Xenopus tropicalis: one gene and its partners. The protein of the gene in region 5 purifies or fractionates together with the protein of the main gene of each other region. This does not show direct contact. Links are inferred from orthologs where the notes say so. Each region holds a gene or a part of one and is shown on either strand. Other genes may lie near its edges. The genes, in order: erbb4, wbp2, dvl2, vopp1 and wwox.

Region 1 (4,762 bases), on a different chromosome or scaffold from region 5:
AACCAGAGCCCCGGTCTGTAACCTGCCTCCCTGCAAGAAGCTGTTCATTAAAAGTGCTTTTTGTTCATCGCAACTGCATGAAGATGCCTACTTCTTGTAGTAAAGGTCATGTACATGCGTTTGACAGTAACAGGAGTCTAGCAGCCATGGGGAGCTCCAGCACACTCCAGCACTTAAGCCATGGGGTAATATAAATGACCCCTAGTATCTGCAGTCTCTTTTGCCTTGCCTTCAAAGTTTCCCTCAAAAAATGTATAGATTTACCATTCTTCTCTAAGACTTGTGGTCTGAGATGTAAATTTAGACAAGTCTGATTGAACAGAAGCTGACGAGAACCAGGAAAAGTTAATTAGTGAAGATTTTTGCATAATTACAATCGTGTCCTGACACTAAGGTGTTTTCATAGATGGATCTCAAATGAAATTCGACAGCAGCTAGTTTATTATGAGAAAGGCTTGAGAAGGGACAGTCAGAAACGTCATTAATATAGGGTTCGGAGAACCATCACAGAGGGGACAGTGAATAAGAAGACAGCCCGGTAATTGAATCAATCAGTCATTTGTTTTTTGCTGCTGGGCCCAGGCTGTAGGTCAGCAAGTCATCAAAAGCTGTGGCAAATTTCACTAATTACTACTCTACAGGACAAAGCTGTTATATCACAGCAGTCTTTAACCCTTCTTACACCATAAACGAATTATATCATTTCCACAGTCCATTCATTGTTTTTATAAAGCTGCTTTTTTTGCTACACAAAAATACATCACAAAGGCAGAATTATCTATGAAATGTAAAACCAATCTTCAGTGGGGCCTGGGACACTAGGGGCTAACGGCAAACACCCATGAATTTTCTGGTATGTGTATTCTTAGCAAGCATTGTTAAGATTTGTAGAATGAGTTGTAGGCATTTAGTAAAAGAATGTATGCGTATAATAAAACAAATTTGAATGGGAAGCATAGTGATATTCTAGTCCCTGTTTTATATAAAGGTGATATTAACTCTGCTTTCAAATTCTGATTTTCCCACAAAAAGCAATATTATATTGCCTACACAAACAATATACCCCTAATAATCATTTTTGTGATTTTTTTGTGACTCACCTGTAACTTTTTTTCCGCTGCAAATTTTTCTGCCTGTAATACAAAAAAATTCACCAATAGGGAAATGCGGAATTTCGCAGCCAATCCATGCCTGCCGAAAAATTTGTGATGTGTATTTCTTCTGTAATTATGCAGTTAACAAAGAAAGCTAGCACATCCTACTAGAAAGTTCTCTGTCTCCACTGACATAGTTTAATCATTAAAGTTCTCTTTTGGGTTTTGTCTGCCAGATAATGGCAAGATTATATATTTTAACCTTACAAACAAAGGGTTGTGTGATAATGGCTGGGGAATTGCAGACATCCTGAATTACAGATGTTTAGTAATTAGTTCCACTTGAGTAGACCTACAAGACTGAACTGCGCCACTGGCTTTTCCAGCAGGACTTACTGTGATGTACATTCTTAGTGCTTGGTGTAAGCTTATTAACCAGATACAGTGATGCACAAAATGGTATAAACTGTAAACACATAAAGGGAGTGTAGATAGATCTCGTAGATAGATATGTATAATAAATATAAATATCTTATGCATACATTAATACATACATATATCTTAATGTAAATGACATGTTCTGGAGAGGAAGTCTGTCATTTCTCGCTGTAGGAATCATTACTAAAATGAATATGTGTACTCCACATCACAATTGCAGGGATATTTTTATGTAAAATATTATCCAAAACAATTATTTGTAACAAACTCTATGGAGCACATTTACTAATCCTCAAATCCGAATCCCGAATGGGAAAAAATCGGATTGGAAACGAAAATTTTGCGACTTTTTCGTTGCTGTTGCGGTTTTTTTGTATTTTGCGCAACTTTTTCGTCGCCAGCATGACTTTATCGTATTTTGCACTATTTTTTTCGTCGCCGTCACGATTTTTTCGTATTGAGCAATTGTAAATGGCGGAAAAACCAATCCGAATTTTTTGCGACGGCGACGAAAAAGTTGCGAAAAATATACGATAAAGTCGTAACAGCGACAAAAAAACACGCAAAATCTGAAAAAAACGCTGCAGCGATGAAAAAGTCGCAAAATACTGATCATTACGGAAAAAACCCATTTGGGCGCTTTCGGACATTCGTGGCTTAGTAAATGTGCCCCTATGCATCCACACAGACCACAGATCAACATATTGTTAGGTGACCGCCGCTTTATTTGGAGTTTTACTAAAATTTGTCCTTTTCAATGTATGTTTTCACAACTTTTAGGAAGGCCTTTTCTTGAACCATCCAAGTGGTTTTCATGGCTACTATCCCCTCTTTAACCACCACAGACCTTTGGATATACCATCATTTTAATAGGACATGGCACACAGTGACAAATGATTGACTGACTCACTCCAAGTAAAAAGCTGGACATGGAGTGCAATACCAAGCTACAGTAGATACAGCATACCTTTTGGGCTTCATACACCACTTACAATGACCCTAGGGCAGTGTACAGTACTTGCACACACAGTGTTCTTATAATGTGATGGGTATACCTAGGTTGGTAAATTAGTTTTAGAGTCTAACAGCCCTGTACTAAACTACATTATGAAAGAGTTCCTTTGGGCTCTTATCTGCCCTTGGTTATTGCTATATAGACATAAAAGAAATTGGTGTCACAGTAATAATGCATTATGTGATGTTGCTGTGGCTGCCGTTCCAGTGGGACTTTATCTGTGTCAATCAATATGTAGGCCCCTGTTAATTTGTTTAGCAGCATTTATGTACATGCAGCAAGCTGTGTAGTCCTAAAAGAGTCTCAGTAAAAATAAGCATTCATTGATTGCCCTCATATTTCTTCTACAACAGATAATTTGTCTGTGATTATAGAACATTGTTTGGTAATCATCATTATGAAATTGTCAATAATAAAAGTTTGTCTTCTGTCTTTGTCTTCCATAGAACCAGTTTGTTTATAGAGATGGGGGCTACACCACTCAAGAAGCAGTAAATCTTCCCTTCAGACCCACTGCCTGCCCAATAACAGAACTCTCAACAGCACAGGGGGCTACAGCTGAAGTCTTTGATGATGTTTGTTGCAATGGCACACTTTGTAAACAGGTGGTATCAGAGCGAATACCAGAGGAGAGCAGCCTGCAGAGATATAGTGCTGACCCCACTGCATTTGTGCCGGAACGCAACCCCAGAGGAGTTGTCGGGGAAGATGGCTATATGACTCCCATGAAGGAAAAACCGAAGTCTGGTAGGTAGTGACTACTGTTGATAGTCCTGTATAAAAATATGATATTGACTAATCTTGAGAATGTTTTTGAACACTTTTTATCTCTGTTGAAGTAGTCAGGTATCTTAAGGATCATTAACAGAAGGGCAATCAGAAGAGAACAACCTTAGAAAAAGTTTGCACATCTGTATCATGGGAGTGAGTACTAGAAAGCTCCATGATGCTTCAGACTGATAGATGCTGCCATAGCAATTAGGAAAAAAACTAGAAATGCATATGAAAGTGCTAACAGTAATACTGTAAAAACACACTCAAGGTAACGTAACAAAAGCCTGTTCTAGTAACCGGATGCAAGCTTTGAGGCATTTTTATATTACCTGTAAAGGGATAATGTATTAAGTGTCAGAAGGCGTGTGCATGGTCTAGTAACCAAACCGCCAGCATCTGACTTTAATGTGGGTCACTAGAACTTAGTGATATTTTTTCAGTTATTATTGTGTTTTCATATGTAAATATTTTCTTGAATTTATGATCCCCCCCTCGAATCAGAATCCTGTCAAACATATTGAATGTATTCAAGTGTCCTTGTACCATGTGGTAAAGGGAACAGAGTATAATGTAGACAATTTGTGCAGAAGAAATTATTCCATACTCCGGGGGTGACTGCTTGTTTACAAACAGTAGCACATACAGTACCTGCAACATTTTGGGTATAAACGTCTCTCTGTCAACTTTAACTGTCAATATCCTATAAAAACTAAGATCCAGTTTAGGAGTATTTTTCCAAGAAGAATCCTCATATGTATTAAGTAAGAGTTTCCATTACATGTGGTTTTCCTGACATCCTTAAAAACATTAAAAGCCATAAACACATATTAGAAACCCTACAATAGTTTAAGACTAATATAGAATTAAAGAATAAGCTATTGAAATTATTTTGTATTATACAGATATTCTGCTGGGTTAGTTTGAAAAAAAAAGCCCAGCGTTGTCAAGAGCAATACAAGAGGACCATAGATTTAAAATGATGTAATTTTTGTACTCTCATTGTTAATCTACAATTTATCAAAATGTCTTAGACGCTGAAATGGCTGATAAGTCAGCTATACATAATAGCACTGCATTAGGAGGCAGAATTTGACATAATACAAAATTACCTGGTTAAGACCTCACATTGATCAATGACAGAACCTTTCAGCAACTGCTCTGTTTTGTCTTCCAGATTATTTAAACCCAGTTGAAGAGAATCCCTTTGTATCTCGAAGGAAAAATGGGGATGTCCAAGCTGTGGAGAAACCAGAGTATAATAATGGGCCCAGCACACAGTCTAAGTCAGAAGATGAATATGTCAAAGAGCGTTTGTATTTGAACTCTTTTGCTAAACCCAAGGAAAATGCTGAGTACCTGAAAAATAATGGACTTACTGTGCCAGAGAAATCCAAGAAGGCATTTGATAATCCAGAATACTGGAATCACAGTCTGCCACCAA
Region 2 (5,326 bases), on a different chromosome or scaffold from region 5:
TTAAATAAACCCAATAGGGCTGTTCTGCCCCCAATAAGGGGTAATTATATCTTAGTTGGGATCAAGTACAGGTACTGTTTTATTATTACAGAGAAAAGGGAATCATTTAACCATTAAATAAACTCAATAGGGCTGTTCTGCCCCAATAAGGGGTAATTATATCTTAGTTGGGATCAAGTACAGGTACTGTTTTATTATTACAGAGAAAAAGTAAATGATTTTGAAAAATTTGAATTATTTGCTTAAAATGGAGTCTATGTGAGATATTTAAGAACTTTCTGGATAATGGGTTTCCAGATGACAGATCTCACACCTGTATTTTATAATAGTGAGTAAAATGACTTACCGCTGGGTGGTGGCGGATAAGGATAACCAGCAGGTGGAGGTGGGTAGATGCCATTGGCTGCAGGAGGTGGGAAGACGTAGCCCCCATTGGGCATATATGGGTAGGCAACATTTGGAGCTCCTCCACTTGAGGCTACAAGGGCGAGTAGAAACCATATTTTATAAAAATGGGTAAAGGAAAAAGTGCATTGCAAAGGCTGAGGCAGAATTTCTGACCCATTGGGATTTCCCTTTAAATCTTTTCCCCGAGGTGTGGGGCTTGTGGCAAATGTGTATTTGCTCTCCTAGGTAGTCCTGGGAGTCCAGACTAAATGTCAAGAGATTGTGACTTCAGATACCCCCTGCTCACCTTGAGAGGCCACGTGTAGCATGTGCTGGCCGAACTCTATAGCGCCCCCTGAAGGAAAGCTTAGTTTAAATGTAGCAGATCCTTCCCAACCACCTGCAGGCAAAGAAATGAATTCCAGATTAAAAGATATATTTAACCTACAGCAAATTATATTAGCAAAAAATAAAGGCAGGTGTCCCAGGAGCTGAAGTGGGACCTAGAACGCATAGGTATCCGTCAGATAGTAACACTGCTCACCTCCAGGCTCAGCTCTCACGTTGCCCTTGATAAAATTGGCTCCAAATACGGGCTGCTTAATTTCACAGTCCTTCATCAGATAGAAGGGCATCATGAACGACTGCATGGGGTCCCTTCCTTTGGACACAAATATCACCTGTGGATGCAAAATTAGCCTCACCCACATGCATAATACACAAGAGCCGTAAAAGATATGCTTATAAATAGGTTAGAATCTGTGTCACATGACTCACTGAAATAATAATAACTGAAAGAATAATGTACCCCCTTGGAATAAAATGAGAGAATATTAGACACCTCAAAGCTTTAGGGCCTGTATTAAAGTGATTTTGTGCCGCCTTTATATGTTCATGGATCCCCTCTGTGACTTTTATTAAGGAGGTGTAGAAGGGCACTAGCCCTATATGTAATAAATGACACTAAAGTTTGGCATACACTGGCAAATCTAAGTTGCCGATTTGAGTCCTTCAGACCGTTTCGGGCGCTTATCTGCCCATGGGGCCCCCCAGCAGGCCTACCCAACCAATATCTGGATAAAAATGGGCAGGTGGCGAAACAATCGATTTAGCCAAATTTTGCCCACCTTAGGTGGAAATGATCCACTCGATTAAACCTTAAGTTTGCCTGATAGCAATAACCCACAGCAACCAATAAGTATATTCTACCTGCTGACTGGTTGCTATGGGTTACTGTTCCTGGGCAAATTTAGTTTTTTTAATTACATAACCCCCAAGTGTCTTCTCTGACCTAATGGAAAGTTTAGTTGCACATTAGCAGTTTATTCCATGGTGCCAATGAGTCAGACTGCACCTAATGAGTGAAGGAAAAGGGAGGCAGACTTACTCGATATGGTGTCAGAATGACTCTGCCTTTCTTGGTCCCTCTGAAAGCCTCTGGGGTGCTGTCCATGTCACTAAATGTGACCTCCACATGTTCATAAGAAGTAAGGATACTGGAAGATAATAAAGGGCAAGTTCAATGAGAACAGTGCAGTTTAGTAGTCAAAGACGAACTGCCAGCTGGACACCGGGAAAAAACCAAGCGGGCCCCTCGATCCCTGCTGGTGTTCCTGAACTGACGTCCCTCCACCAGACTGGGGGGTTTGGGATGATGGGGACCCCTTGGGGGTGTGGTGTGTGTGGGGGGTGGTTATTGTGCATCTTCATGATATTGGGCCAAACTGACTATCTGTTTGAGGAATAAGAGGAGTGCCCAAGGGTGTAAATGTAGAGGAAGAAGACCCTGCAACTGCCAAGGTATAAGAGATCAGTGTCAGACTGGGAACCCAGAGGCCCACCAGAAAACCTTAGACCCCAGGCCGCTTTTCCAAACTATTTTTCCTCCTTTCCTCACCCAACCTCTTTATTCTCCTAGTCTCTTTTATTTACATGCTAGCATCTATTCTTCCATCTATTTCTCTTCTTTGTTCCCATTCAGAAACAGGGAATGACCATGAAGCAGGCCAAATGCTGAGGAGCAGGAGGGCCCACTGACATCTGGGCCCACCGGGAGTTTTCCTGCTATCCTTGTGGGCCAGTCCGACACCGTAAGAGATCCAACAGAACACTGAATGATACGCGGTTTCAGTGGCATAACTGAGCCCTATAGCAAAATCATTTTAGCGCCCCAATAAACTTTAGGAATAAGACATTTTTTATAATAAAGCTATTAAAACTGCTTATCAGTCAGTGCCCTATGGGGCCTCCTATAATCTCCAGGGTCACTCTGCCTTCCCCGGGTCTGAGCGTTAAATATCTCCTACATATTGCAGCACTGTATACACCCCTCCACTGTATCATGTGATTATGTAAGTGCTTCATAAGAATATTATATTAAATTAATAATATAAATAATAATAAAGGGGGTTTAGTAAGTAAATCTCACAAGGGATACATGTGGGACATATTATATATAGATATGCTGATAGAATTAAGTATATTGTGCCTGGGAATAGGAAAACACACACAATATTATACAAATAGTACAGCAGACAGGCAAAGAGAGGGAGGCGGGTGTATCTGTATCAGCTCCATAATTGGCACAAATCCCTGCTCGTCATGTCCAAGCTCCGCCCCATATATGATGACAGATACCCGGAACCCATATTCATGCAGGGGGTCCGTCTAACGTTTCGCTGACTGCTTCCCGCGACTGTCTCTCTACTTAGCCGCTGTCCTACCTCTCGCTGTTGTTAATTACTGCACCTCCGCCATCCAGGTGGTTCCTGTTAAGGGCCATATTGCGGAGATAAAAAGGTCACACCTCCGCAGCCTAGCAACAGCCAATCACCGTGCTCGAAGAGTCTCTCGCACTTTGAGACGCAGTCTGGGCGGTTCCACTGCTGTAGGGCCGGCCGCTCATTGGCTGAGGGATCTATGACTGGCATGTGTTCTTGATCGCTAGGGGGCGTGTATCACTGAAAATAAACCATGGCCGCTTGAGGCGCTAATGTTGTAGTTGTGTTTCTGCGTTGCTAATACTTCATTGTAACGATCACTTAGCGCTGAGGCGCAGAGCTGCTCCGTGTATTACGGTTGTTACCAATGTAGCGCTGTGTTTGGGCGGCTATTCAGGGCAGTAAGTGTTAAATTCTACTTTATGGGGAATATCCAATCTTATTTTGTACAGTTATATCGGCCAATTAGTTAGTTAAACATACTACTTCACTACAAACCTCTCCTAACAGGATTTCATACAATCCCAATTGAGGTTATCACAGGGCTGATATTAAGCTATTTCATACTCCCCGCGTAGTTGCTTCGCCCCTTCTTACACTTAGGGGCACATTTACTAACCCACGAACGTCCAAAAAGTGTTTTTTTTTCGTAATGATCGGTATTTTGTGACTTTTTCGAGCGCTCAATACGAAAGTCGCGACAATTCGCGCAAGTCGTAACGGCTACGAAAAAGTCACAAAAAATATGAAAAAGTCGCAAAATGTTCGTTTTACAATCCAAATTTTTCCCATTCGGATTCGTGGATTAGTAAATCAGCCCCTTAGTATAGCGGCGGAAATACAAGAAGGTCTCTAACTGGTCGATGTATATATTAGTTGAGGTAAAGTTATCTTACAGGTAAGTATTACGTTGCGTTTCTCTAACATACGGTGGGTCCGGTATTGCCAGGGTAAAGCCGCCATACACGCACCGATAATATACGTAACCTCGTTTCATACGATATTCGGTGCGTGTATGGCAACTCGGCGAGGCGGCCGATATCACAGAAGGCTGTCGACTCACCAATCGGACCGGTTAAAAGATTTTGTTTGGGCACCGTAGAAGGCGCCTGAGCAAAATCTGCCTTCAGCGCTGAATCGGCAGAAGGAGGTAGAAATTAGAGCTGGGCGGTATGGCCAAAAATTTATATTGCAGTATTTTTCAAAATGATATCGGTGTCGCTGTATTTGACGGTATTTTTTTTTTTCCATGCATGATTAGGTGTTAACCCCATTTCCTAATAAATTAGAGAATAATTACTGTAGTATTGAAAATCAGAGTCAGGCAAGCGAAGGATCGGCAACAGAAAGTCGTAAGGTAAATCAGGCAGGCTTAGTTTCCCAGGCAAGGCCGCAGACAACATAGCACAGGAGGAGGCGTTTGATAGCTTTAAATACCCCCCACGCATGCGCAGAACCGGCGCCGTTAGCGCGTCGCGGACGTGCACGCTTTGACATGTACGTGCGCTTTGACGCACACACACCTGGACGCGCGTGCGCAATGTCCCGCGGACAACGGGACGCGCGCGCAAGGAGGCGTGCGAGAACGGGCCGCACGGGTGAGTACCCTGACACCCCGGTATTGCGGTATCTGAAAAATGAATATAGTTTTAAAAAAAACACCGGTATTCGGTATTAAACGGTATATCGCCCAGCTCTAGTAGAAATCCTATTGTTTCTACCTCCATATCTGACGTTTCAGCCCTGAACGTAAGTGGAGGGTGGGAACAATCTTTCGTGCGACTGATGGTTGCACGAAAGATCAAAAATTGCCACGTGTGTGGCCACCGTAAGTAACTAAGATGTATGAATACCTATTGGAGCCGGGAAATGGTTGAACAAAACCCACCCCGCGCCCCTTCCCAGGACTACACCAAGTACCCTTCGGCGTTTATAATTGAAACCCTCGTCACTCAGATAGAATTCACTACCACACGTGGAATTCTTCTGTACGTAAAGTCCCTACCAGGTTACCATGCCTACTACCATCGTTTGTACCTGATATGATTGACTTCTCCATGTAATAATCACTCACCAACTGCTTTGCAGTAGAAAAATGGGTACCCATTTTGGATTCGGGGGAATGTGTTCTTTTTGAAAATATATCATTTTCTTGGTCTTGAATTGAATATGCAGGTTTCTGGGTTAGTGTTTAGAAATGTAGTTCCGTACTGCTGGGA
Region 3 (4,762 bases), on a different chromosome or scaffold from region 5:
CTGTGGGGAAGGGTCCCAGCATTTGGCCACGGTCAGGATAATAGGCCTGTAAGAGAGGCAGGGTAAAATTAAAGGCATAAACACTTACCCCCCAGGCTATTAGTTGCCCCTAGGACCCACCCCCTTACCCCGGCTTATGGACAATATCCCTAAGGACACGAACAGCATCGTCGTTGCTCATATTCTCAAAATTGATGTCATTGACCTGCAGAGAGAGAGAGAGAGAGTGCATGGGGGTAAGTGCCCGGGGGTATCTACCTATCCAGCAAGGGAGGGGCAACACTTACCTGCAGCAACATGTCCCCGGGTTCAATCCTCCCGTCGGCTGCCACGGCTCCGCCCTTCATTATGGAGCCAATATAAATGCCCCCGTCACCGCGCTCGTTGCTCTGCCCCACGATAGAGATGCCCAGGAAATTGTACTTCTCTGGGGAGGGAGAGGAAAGGGTTAAGAACTGCCCATAAAGGGGCGGGGTCACATGGCTGGGAGTCCCCCGGACACCCCTGGTGCAACTGCGCCAAGCCTGGGCCCAAGCACTGCCCACTGACCAGTAGGGGGAGCTGTTCCTCCTCTCATCAGGGCTGTAGTGATTGGTGGGGGGAAGCTGTGAGTCAGGGTTAAAGGTCAATCTCCTGTCTCAGTAACTGCCCCCCTGGGGTACAGAGAAGGCGAGCTAAGCCAATGGGAGCAGAGTGGGCGGGGCCGACTCACCCATATTCAGCGTGACGGTGATGATGTTGAGGGACATGGTGGAGTCGGTGACGCTGCTGAAGGAGGAGGTCTGTAAGAGAGAGAAGGCGGGGCTGAGGGTGGGGCCTGGCTGGAGCACCAATCAGGGCACTCTATAGCTATCCCTGCTGTAACTCACCCTCTCCAGGCGGGGGGGTCTCTGCTTGCGGCGGCGCCGGTGGCGCTTCAGGAGGCGGGATGCGCTGCTCTGCTCCGTGGAACTGCTGAACCTGAGGGAACAGCCATATTGGCATCAGGCCCCATGCAAGCCCCTCCCACTCCCTGGCATCTGGGCGGGGCCACAGTACCTGCTCATAGCGTCGTCCTCCTCCGAGTCACAGATACTCGTCTCAATCTCACTGGTCAGAAGCGTCGAGGAGGATTCGTACCCCGAGAGGTGCCGCTCTGCCCGTCCATTCACCCCCCTGGCAACACCTGCGGGAACAGAGCAACCATAGTACCCTGGCATTGTGCCCCCTGTGCCCCAGGCCCCTCCCCCACCTGCGGGAACAGAGCAACCATAGTACCCTGGCATTGTGCCCCCAGTGCCCCAGGCCCCTCCCCCACCTGTGGGAACCAAGCAGCCATAGTACCCTGGCATTGTGCCCCCAGTGCCCCAGGCCCCTCCCCCACCTGTGGGAACCAAGCAGCCATAGTACCCTGGCATTGTGCCCCCAGTGCCCCAGGCCCCTCCCCCACCTGTGGGAACCAAGCAGCCATAGTACCCTGGCATTGTGCCCCCTGTGCCCCAGGCCCCTCCCCCACCTGCGGGAACAGAGCAACCATAGTACCCTGGCATTGTGCCCCCAGTGCCCCAGGCCCCTCCCCCACCTGTGGGAACCAAGCAGCCATAGTACCCTGGCATTGTGCCCCCAGTGCCCCAGGCCCCTCCCCCACCTGTGGGAACCAAGCAGCCATAGTACCCTGGCATTGTGCCCCAGGCCCCTCCCCCACCTGTGGGAACCAAGCAGCCATAGTACCCTGGCATTGTGCCCCCTGTGCCCCAGGCCCCTCCCCCACCTGTGGGAACCAAGCAGCCATAGTACCCTGGCATTGTGCCCCCAGTGCCCCCGGCCCCTCCCCCACCTGTGGGAACCAAGCAGCCATAGTACCCTGGCATTGTGCCCCCGGCCCCTCCCCCACCTGTGGGAACCAAGCAGCCACAGTACCCTGGCATTGTGCCCCCGGTGCCCCTCCCCCACCTGTGGGAACCAAGCAGCCACAGTACCCTGGCATTGTGCCCCCGGTGCCCCTCCCCCACCTGTGGGAACCAAGCAACCATAGTACCCTGGCATTGTGCCCCCTGTGCCCCCGGCCCCTCCCCCACCTGTGGGAACCAAGCAGCCATAGTACCCTGGCATTGTGCCCCCTGTGCCCCCGGACCCTCCCCCACCTGTGGGAACCAAGCAACCATAGTACCCTGGCATTGTGCCCCCAGTGCCCCCGGCCCCTCCCCCACCTGTGGGAACCAAGCAGCCATAGTACCCTGGCATTGTGCCCCCGGTGCCCCAGGCCCTCCCCCACCTGTGGGAACCGAGCAACCATAGTACCCTGGCATTGTGCCCCCAGTGCCCCCGGCCCCTCCCCCACCTGTGGGAACCAAGCAGCCATAGTACCCTGGCATTGTGCCCCCGGCCCCTCCCCCACCTGTGGGAACCAAGCAACCATAGTACCCTGGCATTGTGCCCCCAGTGCCCCCGGCCCCTCCCCCACCTGTGGAACCAAGCAGCCATAGTACCCTGGCATTGTGCCCCCAGTGCCCCAGGCCCCTCCCCCACCTGTGGGAACCAAGCAGCCATAGTACCCTGGCATTGTGCCCCCAGTGCCCCAGGCCCCTCCCCCACCTGTGGGAACCAAGCAGCCATAGTACCCTGGCATTGTGCCCCCTGTGCCCCAGGCCCCTCCCCCACCTGTGGGAACCGAGCAACCATAGTACCCTGGCATTGTGCCCCCGGCCCTCCCCCACCTGTGGGAACCAAGCAGCCATAGTACCCTGGCATTGTGCCCCCAGTGCCCCAGGCCCCTCCCCCACCTGTGGGAACCAAGCAACCATAGTACCCTGGCATTGTGCCCCCGGCCCCTCCCCCACCTGTGGGAACCAAGCAACCATAGTACCCTGGCATTGTGCCCCCAGTGCCCTCGGCCCCTCCCCCACCTGTGGGAACCAAGCAGCCATAGTACCCTGGCATTGTGCCCCCGGACCCTCCCCCACCTGTGGGAACCAAGCAACCATAGTACCCTGGCATTGTGCCCCCAGTGCCCTCGGCCCCTCCCCCACCTGTGGGAACCAAGCAGCCATAGTACCCTGGCATTGTGCCCCCGGACCCTCCCCCACCTGTGGGAACCAAGCAGCCATAGTACCCTGGCATTGTGCCCCCGGCCCCTCCCCCACCTGTGGGAACCAAGCAGCCATAGTACCCTGGCATTGTGCCCCCAGTGCCCCCGGCCCCTCCCCCACCTGTGGGAACCAAGCAGCCATAGTACCCTGGCATTGTGCCCCCGGCCCCTCCCCCACCTGTGGGAACCAAGCAACCATAGTACCCTGGCATTGTGCCCCCGGTGCCCCTCACCTTGCTCGGTGCTGTCTCGGCGCCTGACCCGGTCTCTGCGCATGGAGATTACAGACTCGTTGTCCTGATCCAGTTGCTCGGTGCTGCCCGACACGTTGGGGCTGAGAGAGACATAAGCACAGTCAGTTCCTGCGGGCAGGGGGGCCCCGGGGCCACACCCTCATACTTACTGAAAGGAGGGAGGCCGCGAGTCTCCAATACCACTGGTCCTCTCTGCGGGGGGCGGCGGCACAGGGGGTGGGACAGGGGGTGGGTCGGGTCGGACCTCTGCAGCTGGGGGGGCAGAATCCGTCTGGGAGGTCTCGGAGGACACGAGCTGCACCAGAGAGACAGGGGGGGAATTAAACGTACGCGGGCGCCCAACTGGCACCCAACCGGCGTCACAAAGGCACCCAACCGGCGTCACAAAGGCACCCAACCGGCGTCACACAGGCACCCAACCGGCGTCACACAGGCACCCAACCGGCGTCACACAGGCACCCAACCTGGCACCCAACCGGCGTCACACAGGCACCCAACCGGCGTCACACAGGCACCCAACCGGCGCCACACAGGCACCCAACCGGCACCCAACCGGCGTCACACAGGCACCCAACTGGCGTCACACAGGCACCCAACCGGCACCCAACCGGCGTCACACAGGCACCCAACCGGCACCCAACCGGCGTCACACAGGCACCCCAGCACCCACGGGCCGGCACCCAACCGGCGCCACACAGGCACCCAACCGGCGCCACACAGGCACCCAACCGGCGCCACACAGGCACCCAACCGGCGCCACACAGGCACCCAACCGGCGCCACACAGGCACCCAACCGGCGCCACACAGGCACCCAACCGGCGCCACACAGGCACCCAACCGGCGCCACACAGGCACCCAACCGGCGCCACACAGGCACCCAACCGGCGCCACACAGGCACCCAACCGGCGCCACACAGGCACCCAACCGGCGCCACAGGCCCACCGGCGCCACCGGCCCAACCGGCGCCACACAGGCACCCAACCGGCGCCACACAGGCACCCACCGGCGCCACACAGGCACCCAACCGGCGCCACACAGGCACCCAACCGGCGCCACACAGGCACCCAACCGGCGCCACACAGGCACCCAACCGGCGCCACACAGGCACCCAACCGGCGCCACACAGGCACCCAACCGGCGCCACACAGGCACCCAACCGGCACATAACTATAAACCCAGTGAGAATGAGGAATGAATGGATATTGGGGAGTTGTATCAGGAGTCAGAACCAGCAGTGCAGGGAAGGGAAAGGGACAGACACAGTGACAGTTACACATAACTATAAACCCAGTGAGAATGAGGGATGAATGGATATTGGGGAGTTGTATCAGGAGTCAGAACCAGCAGTGCAGGGAAGGGAAAGGGACAGACACAGTGACAGTTACACATAACTATAAACCCAGTGAGAATGAGGAATGAATGGATATTGGGGAGTTGTA
Region 4 (4,220 bases), on a different chromosome or scaffold from region 5:
CAGGCACTCCCATATTCTTCAGCTTATTGTCCTATGTATAGAGCTAAATAATCCAGATATCTTGTCAGACCATTAATTTAGTGTTATTGTGATGGCCCAAGCGGTTGGATCAGACTACGGGGGGAATATATTATGCTGTGTAAAACTAATTCGCTGAAAAAACGGAGTAAAAAGCTGTGTAAAATAAATGGAAAAGATCGCCGTCTGAACACCGGATATTACGCCGTTATTTTCCATAAGTTCCGGTGGAAGAAAAAACGCGTAAATGATTACGCTGTTTTTACACAGTGAAGCCTGGCGATGTGTGGCGAATTTTCTCGCCGTTTTTTACACAGCATAATAAATATGCCCCTTAATGTCACTTTTGTCTAATGAGAAGATGATTATATGCATGGCCAGATTAAAAGTCTTGAAATAGTTTCAAAAGTCAGTGGGTCCCATTTACAAAGTGCAGGGCAGGGTGCAAAGTGCAAAAAAACATGTACCAACTGCCATATTTGTTTCACCCTGTCCCACACAGAGTACCATAGGCACAGGTGAGACCCGCTGCCCAAATGAATGTCCATATAATGTGGATTATTTTCGTTTTCTTTCTTTTCTTTTGAGTGTCATTCCGCGGTTTCATTCTGCAGGCTTAGGGACTGATAAAGATAGGTGCCAAATTGAACCTCTGGTGTTGCCTATAGCAACCAATCAGATCTTTGCTTTCATTTTCAAACTGTCAATAGGCTGCTCAAAACTATTTTCTATTGTCTATTGATTGCTATGGGCCACCGCACTGGTCATTCACCATTTAATAAATATAACTTTAAAACTCCCAAAGAAATGAATAGGGAGCAGTGGAATTTTACTGTGATAAATTTTACTTTGATAAATCTGCCCCAAAGTCCTGGCTTATAGTATAAAAGTGAAAGGAAAAATGGTTTCTTTACAAAGTATCAATCACAAAGAACAAATAGGAACAAAGAATAAGAAAATGGAAATATTAACAATTCTGACAATAAAATTAGTTTTATTTATTGGGATTAAAAACACGTATTCAAATAAGGTTCAGTCAAGAGCATGCCTTTTACTGAAGATATTGCATGATCTGCTAGCACTCTTGGGACCATGAGGCAACGATATGTAATGTACATCACCAGTTGAGAAACATACGTACATTAGAGTAACTACATACTACATAAGAGTGATAAAAAAATTAGGCCTCTTCAGCACTAGAATGGAGACCTGGGACAATTACACCCTCATCCCACCCCAGCCAGGTGCTGGAAAGGTAAAAAGGTATACTAGTTACAGACATTGGCAGGATTGCAACCACTTTCCATAAAAACAAGACATCCATTCCATTCGGCAAGCCAGTACTGAGGCTAGCAATACTCTTATGCCAGCTGAGCTAGTGCAGAGCCAAGTCCTCCTTGTGGTAAAGTCAATCACTTGTCAAGAGTCAGGTTTAAGGAAACTGCCGAGGGTTCATTTGCAGGATTTCACCACTTGCTCATAAGGAGGTGGAGGCGTGTTGCAGTAAGAAGGTGGAGGAGGGAATGGTGGATTCCCTTGTGGAGAGGGCTGAACATGAAAGGATGGTGTCACTGGGTTTCCCATAGCTCCTCCTGGATCAGAGTAATATGGCATTCCTGGGTGCTGGGGTCCTGCAAAAAAAACTGCATGCCTTTATTTTTTCCTATTCCACTTCTAGTGCAGTTAATCTGTTGTAAGGGGCAATACATAAGCACCAAAGAGCAGAATGTACTAGGGCAGTGATCCCCAACCAGTGGCTCAGGAGCAACATGTTGCTCCCCAACCTCTTGGATGTTGCTCCCAGTGGCATCAAAGCAGGTGCTCATTTTTTAATTTCTGGCTTGGAGGCAAGTTTTGGTTGCATAAAACCCAGTGTAAAGGCAAACAGAGTCTTCTGTAGGCTTCCAGTCCACATAGGGGGTACCACATAGCCAATTATAGCTTTTATTTGCACCCCCAGGAACTTTTTCCATGCTTGTGTTGCTCCCCAACTCTTTTTCCATTTGAATGTGGCTCCCGGGTATAAAAGGTTGGGGATCCCTGTACTAGGGAAATTAAGTTTTGCCAATATGAGTAAAGAACTAAGAGTCAGAAATAATGAGTTTTAGGGTTTTAGTGTATTTGGTGGGTGGTGACAGGTACTGGCTTTGTGGAGGAAGAAAGATGTATTAGGAGAGCAGATTAGTTCCTGGGAGTTTCTGTTAAAGCTTCAAGGGCCACAGAAGCAGCATAGGTAGCAAGTACTGTAGCTGGCAAGTTTACTAATCCAGGATATGTATTTATATGTATCAAGCAGGGATTACAGTGGCAGATTAGCGGTTAAAATGCTTCAAGCAAATACTAAAGCATTTTAAAAAGAAGGAAAGTACCATTGTGTGACAGTTGCCCTTTCTTTCTGCTCTTACCATATGATTAGAGTACATTTGCTCTTTGTACTTTTGTTCCCACTCTGCTGTATTCCCTGCCATGTAACTGAGCACACTGCACTACACTTATTGCAGTTTCAGAATGCTGGAATATTTTCACAGAGTTGAAGCAATATAAGGGCTCTCACACTTTACATTTGAGGTGCAGGTTTAAGCACACTTTAACACACATGAGCGTAGTTGTACCCAGGAACATTTAAAAAATGTATGTGTGGGCCCTAAGGCAGAACTTTACACATACTTTTGAGCTACCTTATAGTACAGCAGTTGTCCAGCGCTGCCTTCTCCCTGTGCCCTATACATTCAATTAAATACATGCAAGTGTGCACTCATGTTTGCTCTTGAGCCTGTAAATGATTCCTAATGAGTACATTACAGGGGTGTAGGGCAAGACAATGGGTGCCCCCAAACACCTTCATTCCTCTCCCTCCATGAAAACCAAATTGCCAGTGCTGGCAGTACTGTACTCAGGGAAGGCAGGCTGGGGGAAGCATATAGGCATTCCTAACCTGTGCATCATCAGACATGCAAGTCGGGGAGACCTGCCCTATCCTATGGTGGCACATTAGGGAGGGCCTCCTGGTGCCTGTTACCTTCCGCTAGATATTTAATCCAGTGAATGGCCGTGTGTGGTTACTGAATTAGCACTAAAAAGCACAATTTTTGCGCTGCTTAGCACTCTTGCACTTGTGTCCAGGCCCTAATGATTCCTTACACATCTTATCACTAATGAACTTTATCTTCAAGTTTCTGCCACATGAAACGCTATGAAAAAATACAGAGTAATTACCTGGTGGAGGCCCTGCAGGTTGCCTGGTGTATGAGACATTAAAAGTAGGTTCATCAACAAGCAAAGGTGGGTACATCCTTCTTCTGATAAAAAATCCAGCCCCACAACAAAACAGTACACCCATCATCAAGAGGAACCTAAAGAGAAGTGAGAAACTATGTTTATCACCCAACAGGACTGCAATTAAGGAAAGATGCCAGCATTACTGGATAGTAGTTATATATACATGAACACAAGGTGAGTAACGTCATAAGGAAATAAAAATACCCTGTGCATTTACAGACAGGGGCCCAATTACCAATGGTACAGACACAAGTCTTGAGGTGTTAAAGGACATGTAAAGCCTACATTTGCCTACAATGTATATCAGTTGGGCACATCTCCCCCATCCAAATGGCACCATTAGTACTGCATATATCCCCTCCGCTTGCCAGCACCATCAACATTTTCCTAAAGCAAATAGCAGCTTTCACCCGGTGGCCATTTTTCCTCTGATACATAATCAGTTACATTTAAATCTGCAAACAGCATATACACACACACACAGACATGGGCGTCCGCAGAAAATTTTCCAAGGGGGGGCAAGTAAGCTAGCATCATCCTGCAACAGACAAATATATATATATATATATATAAAAATATATATATTTTTTTTGCAGGATGATACTAGGGGAGGCTAAAGATGGCCCATACACAGACTGACCTACAGCTAATGTGACACTTAGTGGATTCGCTGCTGGCGTAAAAAGTTAACCTCCCAACTACCTCTTGCCGTTCCCACTGACTCCCAGGGATACTGTACAAAAGTGCGGGTGGGGGTGCTTTTTTTTTTTTACCCTAAAATGTTTAGGATGTAAAAGTATTCATACGCGCACTTCTGTTAGGGGATCTGCAAACATTTGTGTTTGTGATCAGTTAGCTTAAAGGGGTAGTTCGCATTCAATTCACTTTTATTTTTAATGGTTTTTCAGTTATTTAGCTTTTTG
Region 5 (4,762 bases):
TTAATATATGCGGTTTGTATAACAATGGTGTGTATATGTATGCACAAAACAAAAAAAATGTGATTCTTTAGATCCTTTCAAAGTTGAAAAAAAAAACCCATACAAAATTCCCAACTCTACCTGACAGACACCTCCAGCCATTCTGGAATTTGGTACATGTTAGAGTAATAAATCTTTGTGCATCAGGTTATTTGAGGGCAGATTCATGCTGTTGTGGCTAGCTAAGGTTAACACGGTGACAGCTTGTGCTTTCATGCTGTAATTTATAACTCTGCAAGAGAACCAGAGTTTTATTCCCATCTATTAAAAAGGGAACAGCACATCTGTTAAAGTTCTAGCACAATGACTGGCTTTCCAATGAAACAGGAAACGTAACTGAATAGTCTCAGAACTTCAACAAACCTTACCCACTTTTAAATGTTAAAAAATAAGGGTTTTGAAACTTGAGTTCCTTGTAGCATCTGCTAAGCGCTTGCTGCCCCCTAACACATGGTATTCTTCTGCTTAGATCCTTGCCAACAAAAATATTTGGTTCTATCAAAGTTACAGCCAATGTGTGATAATAGTAACTTGGGCTCAGCACTTGCAGATTTATAGATCTCTACTTGGAAGACATCAAAGAAGCTTATAGCAGTTAATTTATTCTCTGAAGCAAATTCCTGTCCAAATTTTGGAAGTTATAATTTCATCATTAAGCAGCAAATGTAAATCCTCCTACTGAGGCCTGCCACTAAAAAAATATCAATATATATGCATTCCCACCAGTTTGCCAACAGCCACTGGGATTTTTGCATTACGCTAATGAAATGTAACGAGGAAATATACCTCATTTATAAGTAGGGATTATCATCCATTTATTTTCCTTCAATAAAATATCACCTAGCTGCCACTTGGAAAAAAACAGAATCCATTATTTTCATGATGTCTAAAGTGCCAGTGGAGGTAAGCAATATTCCAGCACCCACACCTAATTGTCAAGCAAAAATGCACGGAATGAATGTTCCATGCGCACAGTAATATCAGACTTAATTATTTCCTAATTATGCAAACAGAGGATATATTCTTCTCTAAATAGGATACAATTAAATGGAATTATTAACTGTTAATATGCAGAGATTTAAAGCCAAATTTAGGCTTGCATGCAATGGATGTTGGTTTTTCCAAGAACTCTACTGCTATAATGTACAAAACAGATAATGCTCCTTTTATGCAACCAGAAGTAAAGGTGACAAGGTCACTTAGTTGTTTTTACCAATACTTCACATTTTTCTTGGGCACATACTTATTTCAATAAATTACAGGCAAACATGTTTAGCACAAGCTCCCTTTCCCCTCCTTATCCTGAAGAGCCAATTTCCAAGATTTTTTACCAGATCACATTTCATTTGTCTCCACTCTGCAGACGAATGTATTGCACATCAACAAGCAATTATCTCAATAAACAAGTCCTGAAGTGCCCGGCACTCAGTATTACTTGAGGGAGTATTTCAATATAACTACCATCTCAAGATCACATAGAAGTCTTAATGTAAAGCCTACAGTTTTGAAAGATGTAAATGCAAATGTGTACATCTGGATATTTTATACACTTTAATTCAACTCAGAAAACAGAAGATATGTAAAACCTTTCACTCACCATGGACTTTGTGAATGGCCGTACCAAAGCAAACAGCAATGTATACCCCCACCAGTTGCGATGAATAGAGGAGTACATCATATTTCCCGGATGTACTGCATTAGACGTCACCCCATGGGGAGAAAGGCGGCGGTTCAGCTCCTTGGAGAACAAGATATTGCACAACTTGGAACGGTTGTAAGCCAACATGGCCCAGTAGTCTTTCTTCAATGGGGAAAGCAGGTTCAGGTCAAGTTTCCCTGATGAATCTTTAATTTCTGTAAATCTAAGGGAAAAAAGGTGAACTATTTTTTTAGACATCCTGCCAGTAAAACTTTACTACAATCCAGCAAGAAGTAACCAGCCTCTGCTATAATCAGTTTCTTACATGCTAAAGTTGTTGAACAGAAAGAAATGCAAATTACGAATAATTTATGTAATTCAATCAAGAAAAAAGGAATGACTAATACAAGATAACATTGTTATAACAATCTAATAGCGCTTTTGTGCTGTATAATGTAATATTGGTATATAACTAATATTAAGAATTTAAAAGTAGTTGTAATTCTTTTTACGAATATTTACTCAAAATTCAGCTTAGGTTTTACTTTGAACAGGTTTATTCATCTTGTAATACACTGCTAATGTTGGCATCTGTTAAATAAGCTTTGAGAATGTTATTTCGTCAGCTTCTTCCACAGTAGAAGATACATTCTGCATGGAAATACAGTTTCCCAAAATGCCCCCTTGGCTGCTGGGACATTAGAGCCTTGCTTACTGGTGAGGTTTACCAATATATACTGTAATATGGTGCAACTTAACAATTTAGCTCTAGTGGTTCTTAAACAAAGCTAATTTATTAAACAGTTGGGCAAAGCAGTATCACAGCTGATTTAAGTTTTCATAAAAAGCTGTCTCTACAGGACACTACTTACCGAAGCTAACTGAGCCTAGCAAAAAACACCAGGACACATAAGTGGGGTGCAGGTCGGCCACAGCTTTATTAGAAAAACACTTAGTCCTTGCCATCTTTTTTTCCACATGTACAAAAACATCTTAATGAACTTATAGCTGTTTTATAACCAAATGCCGGCCACTGCAAATGCAGACATCAATTAACACCAGAAATTAAATTGTCAAGGACTATCACCCGCCATATGCTGTGATAATTTTCGCAACAAATATAAGAGACAATGGTTTATACAAAACATATACAGGTATGGGATCCCTCATCCGAAAACCCGTTATCCAGAAAGCTCCGAATTAAGGAGAGCCTGTCTCCCATAGACTCCATTTTAATCAAATAATTTAGAATTTTAAAACTGGTTTCCTTTTTCTCTCTAGAAATTAAACAGTACCTTGTAATTGATCCCAACTAAGATATAAATAATCCTTATTGGATGCAAACCAATCCTATTGGGTTTAATTAATGTTTTGTTGATTTTTTAGTAGACTTAAGGTATGGAGTTCCAAATTACGGAAAGACCCCTTATCCGGAATACCCTTGGTCCCGAGCATTCTGGATAACGGGTCCTATACCTGTATATATATATTTTATATATACATATATATATTTTTTTAAACAGTTATTTCCCAGTTGAGTTTAGCACAGGGTGGGAGGGAGTGAGATGCAGCTCAGGTCTGTGAAAGTGTGGGAGCGGGAGAACACAAGCGGAAGAGGCGGGGGCAGGCAGCCAAGGTGAGTTAAGTGCACAGAGCTCAATAGCATTTTGCTAGCTCCTCAGCACTTTCTCTATGTTTTCCAGTGCTCTCCAGGACAGACAGTTCATTAGCATGAAAAACAAAAATAAATCAAAACCTTTGCCACATTTGGGTTCTAACATGGCATTTACCCTCTCTACAGGCATTCACGGCTAAGAACAAAAGTACAACTCTACACGGAGTGTACCTTCTCAGAATCCTTTTCTTTTATAACTCAGCAGCATTTCAAACTGCTGCCCTCTTTCCACACAGATTCTCAGGTCTTCCAGCTCTTACTAGGGCCATCCTCTCTCTGGGTTGCTAGCAGATCTCAAGCTACTAATTATTCCCCAGGTGAAACAGCCTAAGAGAATTAACCCATTCAGGTCCGCTGAACATGAAGAAATATATGACGAGCCTAAATGAAAAATATTTCCCTTTAAACTCTTCTCCAATTACTAGTCCACACTAGGGTGGCACCAAAGCTTGTAGTGAGCAGGGATATAAAGCAAGTTGTGGATCAGACCATTAGAACACCAGAACATAAAGTGTGCGAGTCCAAACTGTGGCCTATTACAGCATTAGAAAAAAGTACAATTTAAAAAATTTACAATGTAAATTTTGGTAAAATTAACTTCTCTTCACTCTTTCATCTGCCAATGCACATGGTAGTCGCTGGCATTGTGCATCAGAAAAGGACATACCTGACTTAATCTAGAAATGCATTGCTAGCCATAAGATCATAGCAGCTGTCCAACAAAATGATAACTCATCTTAACTAAGACAAGGTAAATGGGTACATTGTACTTTCTGCACCCATTATCAACATATATAGGACATTAAGACTTTCTGTGCATTAAGCTACCAAGAAATGCCCTCCCCTTTAAGCAAAACAGGGATTGTTTGATCTCTTGTTGTTATCTATATGTATTTTGTGGTCACAACCTCATTGCACCCCGCCTAATGGTTTAAAATTTAGTGGTTGAGCACAACTTTCCCCCTTTTTTTCATACATTGTACTTTTGCAACTGTATATGAGTATATGAAATCTGACATAGAACAATATTAAATAGGAGCAATTATATGTTGACAATTTACATTTAATTTTAGTATTTAATATTCATTATATAATTCATCTAAAGTTTCCCAGTATATTACTATATGTATATCTATATATACACATACATACATACACTATATAACAAAAAATACATAAGCTAAATTATGTTATCTAATTATAAATTTTCTTGATGTTCTTTAGCTACACCAGAATGTGAATAATAGGATGAAATCTGTACAGACATTATTATGTTGAGATGATAACCTTGGTTGCTTTCTACAAGCGTTCTGTTTAATAGATAAATGTAAACAAAAGTGAAATGAGTTTTGGCAGACTTTAATGTTTTTAAGTATACCCACGGCATGGCTTTACACAAATCAAAATAA

Evidence for each region.
Region 1: the proteins of wwox (region 5) and erbb4 purify together in Homo sapiens (affinity purification with western blotting; 4 studies listed by BioGRID). This does not show direct contact. The link is inferred for Xenopus tropicalis from reciprocal best matches to the Homo sapiens genes WWOX and ERBB4.
Region 2: the proteins of wwox (region 5) and wbp2 purify together in Homo sapiens (affinity purification with mass spectrometry; 3 studies listed by BioGRID and IntAct, with this or other methods). This does not show direct contact. The link is inferred for Xenopus tropicalis from reciprocal best matches to the Homo sapiens genes WWOX and WBP2.
Region 3: the proteins of wwox (region 5) and dvl2 purify together in Homo sapiens (affinity purification with mass spectrometry; 4 studies listed by BioGRID and IntAct, counting the BioPlex papers as one, with this or other methods). This does not show direct contact. The link is inferred for Xenopus tropicalis from reciprocal best matches to the Homo sapiens genes WWOX and DVL2.
Region 4: the proteins of wwox (region 5) and vopp1 purify together in Homo sapiens (affinity purification with mass spectrometry; 3 studies listed by BioGRID and IntAct, with this or other methods). This does not show direct contact. The link is inferred for Xenopus tropicalis from reciprocal best matches to the Homo sapiens genes WWOX and VOPP1.

The regions. Positions count from the first base shown.
Region 1 is NC_030685.2:57,062,781-57,067,542, reverse strand, and holds part of erbb4 (receptor tyrosine-protein kinase erbB-4), read left to right. Parts: intron 1-2,993; coding exon 2,994-3,294; intron 3,295-4,495; coding exon 4,496-4,762. UniProt on the Homo sapiens protein: Tyrosine-protein kinase that plays an essential role as cell surface receptor for neuregulins and EGF family members and regulates development of the heart, the central nervous system and the mammary gland, gene transcription, cell proliferation, differentiation, migration and apoptosis.
Region 2 is NC_030686.2:44,869,173-44,874,498, forward strand, and holds the start of wbp2 (WW domain-binding protein 2), read right to left. Parts: upstream 3,237-5,326; 5' UTR 3,170-3,236; coding exon 3,111-3,169; intron 1,884-3,110; coding exon 1,775-1,883; intron 1,068-1,774; coding exon 932-1,067; intron 788-931; coding exon 695-787; intron 479-694; coding exon 347-478; intron 1-346. UniProt on the Homo sapiens protein: Acts as a transcriptional coactivator of estrogen and progesterone receptors (ESR1 and PGR) upon hormone activation. In presence of estrogen, binds to ESR1-responsive promoters. Synergizes with YAP1 to enhance PGR activity.
Region 3 is NC_030679.2:153,293,605-153,298,366, forward strand, and holds part of dvl2 (segment polarity protein dishevelled homolog DVL-2), read right to left. Parts: intron 3,617-4,762; coding exon 3,471-3,616; intron 3,402-3,470; coding exon 3,301-3,401; intron 1,166-3,300; coding exon 1,039-1,165; intron 961-1,038; coding exon 870-960; intron 783-869; coding exon 713-782; intron 428-712; coding exon 288-427; intron 206-287; coding exon 129-205; intron 47-128; coding exon 1-46.
Region 4 is NC_030682.2:56,943,638-56,947,857, forward strand, and holds the end of vopp1 (vesicular, overexpressed in cancer, prosurvival protein 1 precursor), read right to left. Parts: intron 3,372-4,220; coding exon 3,235-3,371; intron 1,662-3,234; coding exon of another isoform or gene 1,650-1,661; coding exon 1,471-1,649; 3' UTR 986-1,470; downstream 1-985. UniProt on the Homo sapiens protein: Increases the transcriptional activity of NFKB1 by facilitating its nuclear translocation, DNA-binding and associated apoptotic response, when overexpressed. May sequester WWOX in lysosomal vesicles and thereby regulate WWOX role as tumor suppressor.
Region 5 is NC_030680.2:54,293,054-54,297,815, forward strand, and holds part of wwox (WW domain-containing oxidoreductase), read right to left. Parts: intron 1,902-4,762; coding exon 1,637-1,901; intron 1-1,636. UniProt on the Homo sapiens protein: Putative oxidoreductase. Acts as a tumor suppressor and plays a role in apoptosis. Required for normal bone development. May function synergistically with p53/TP53 to control genotoxic stress-induced cell death.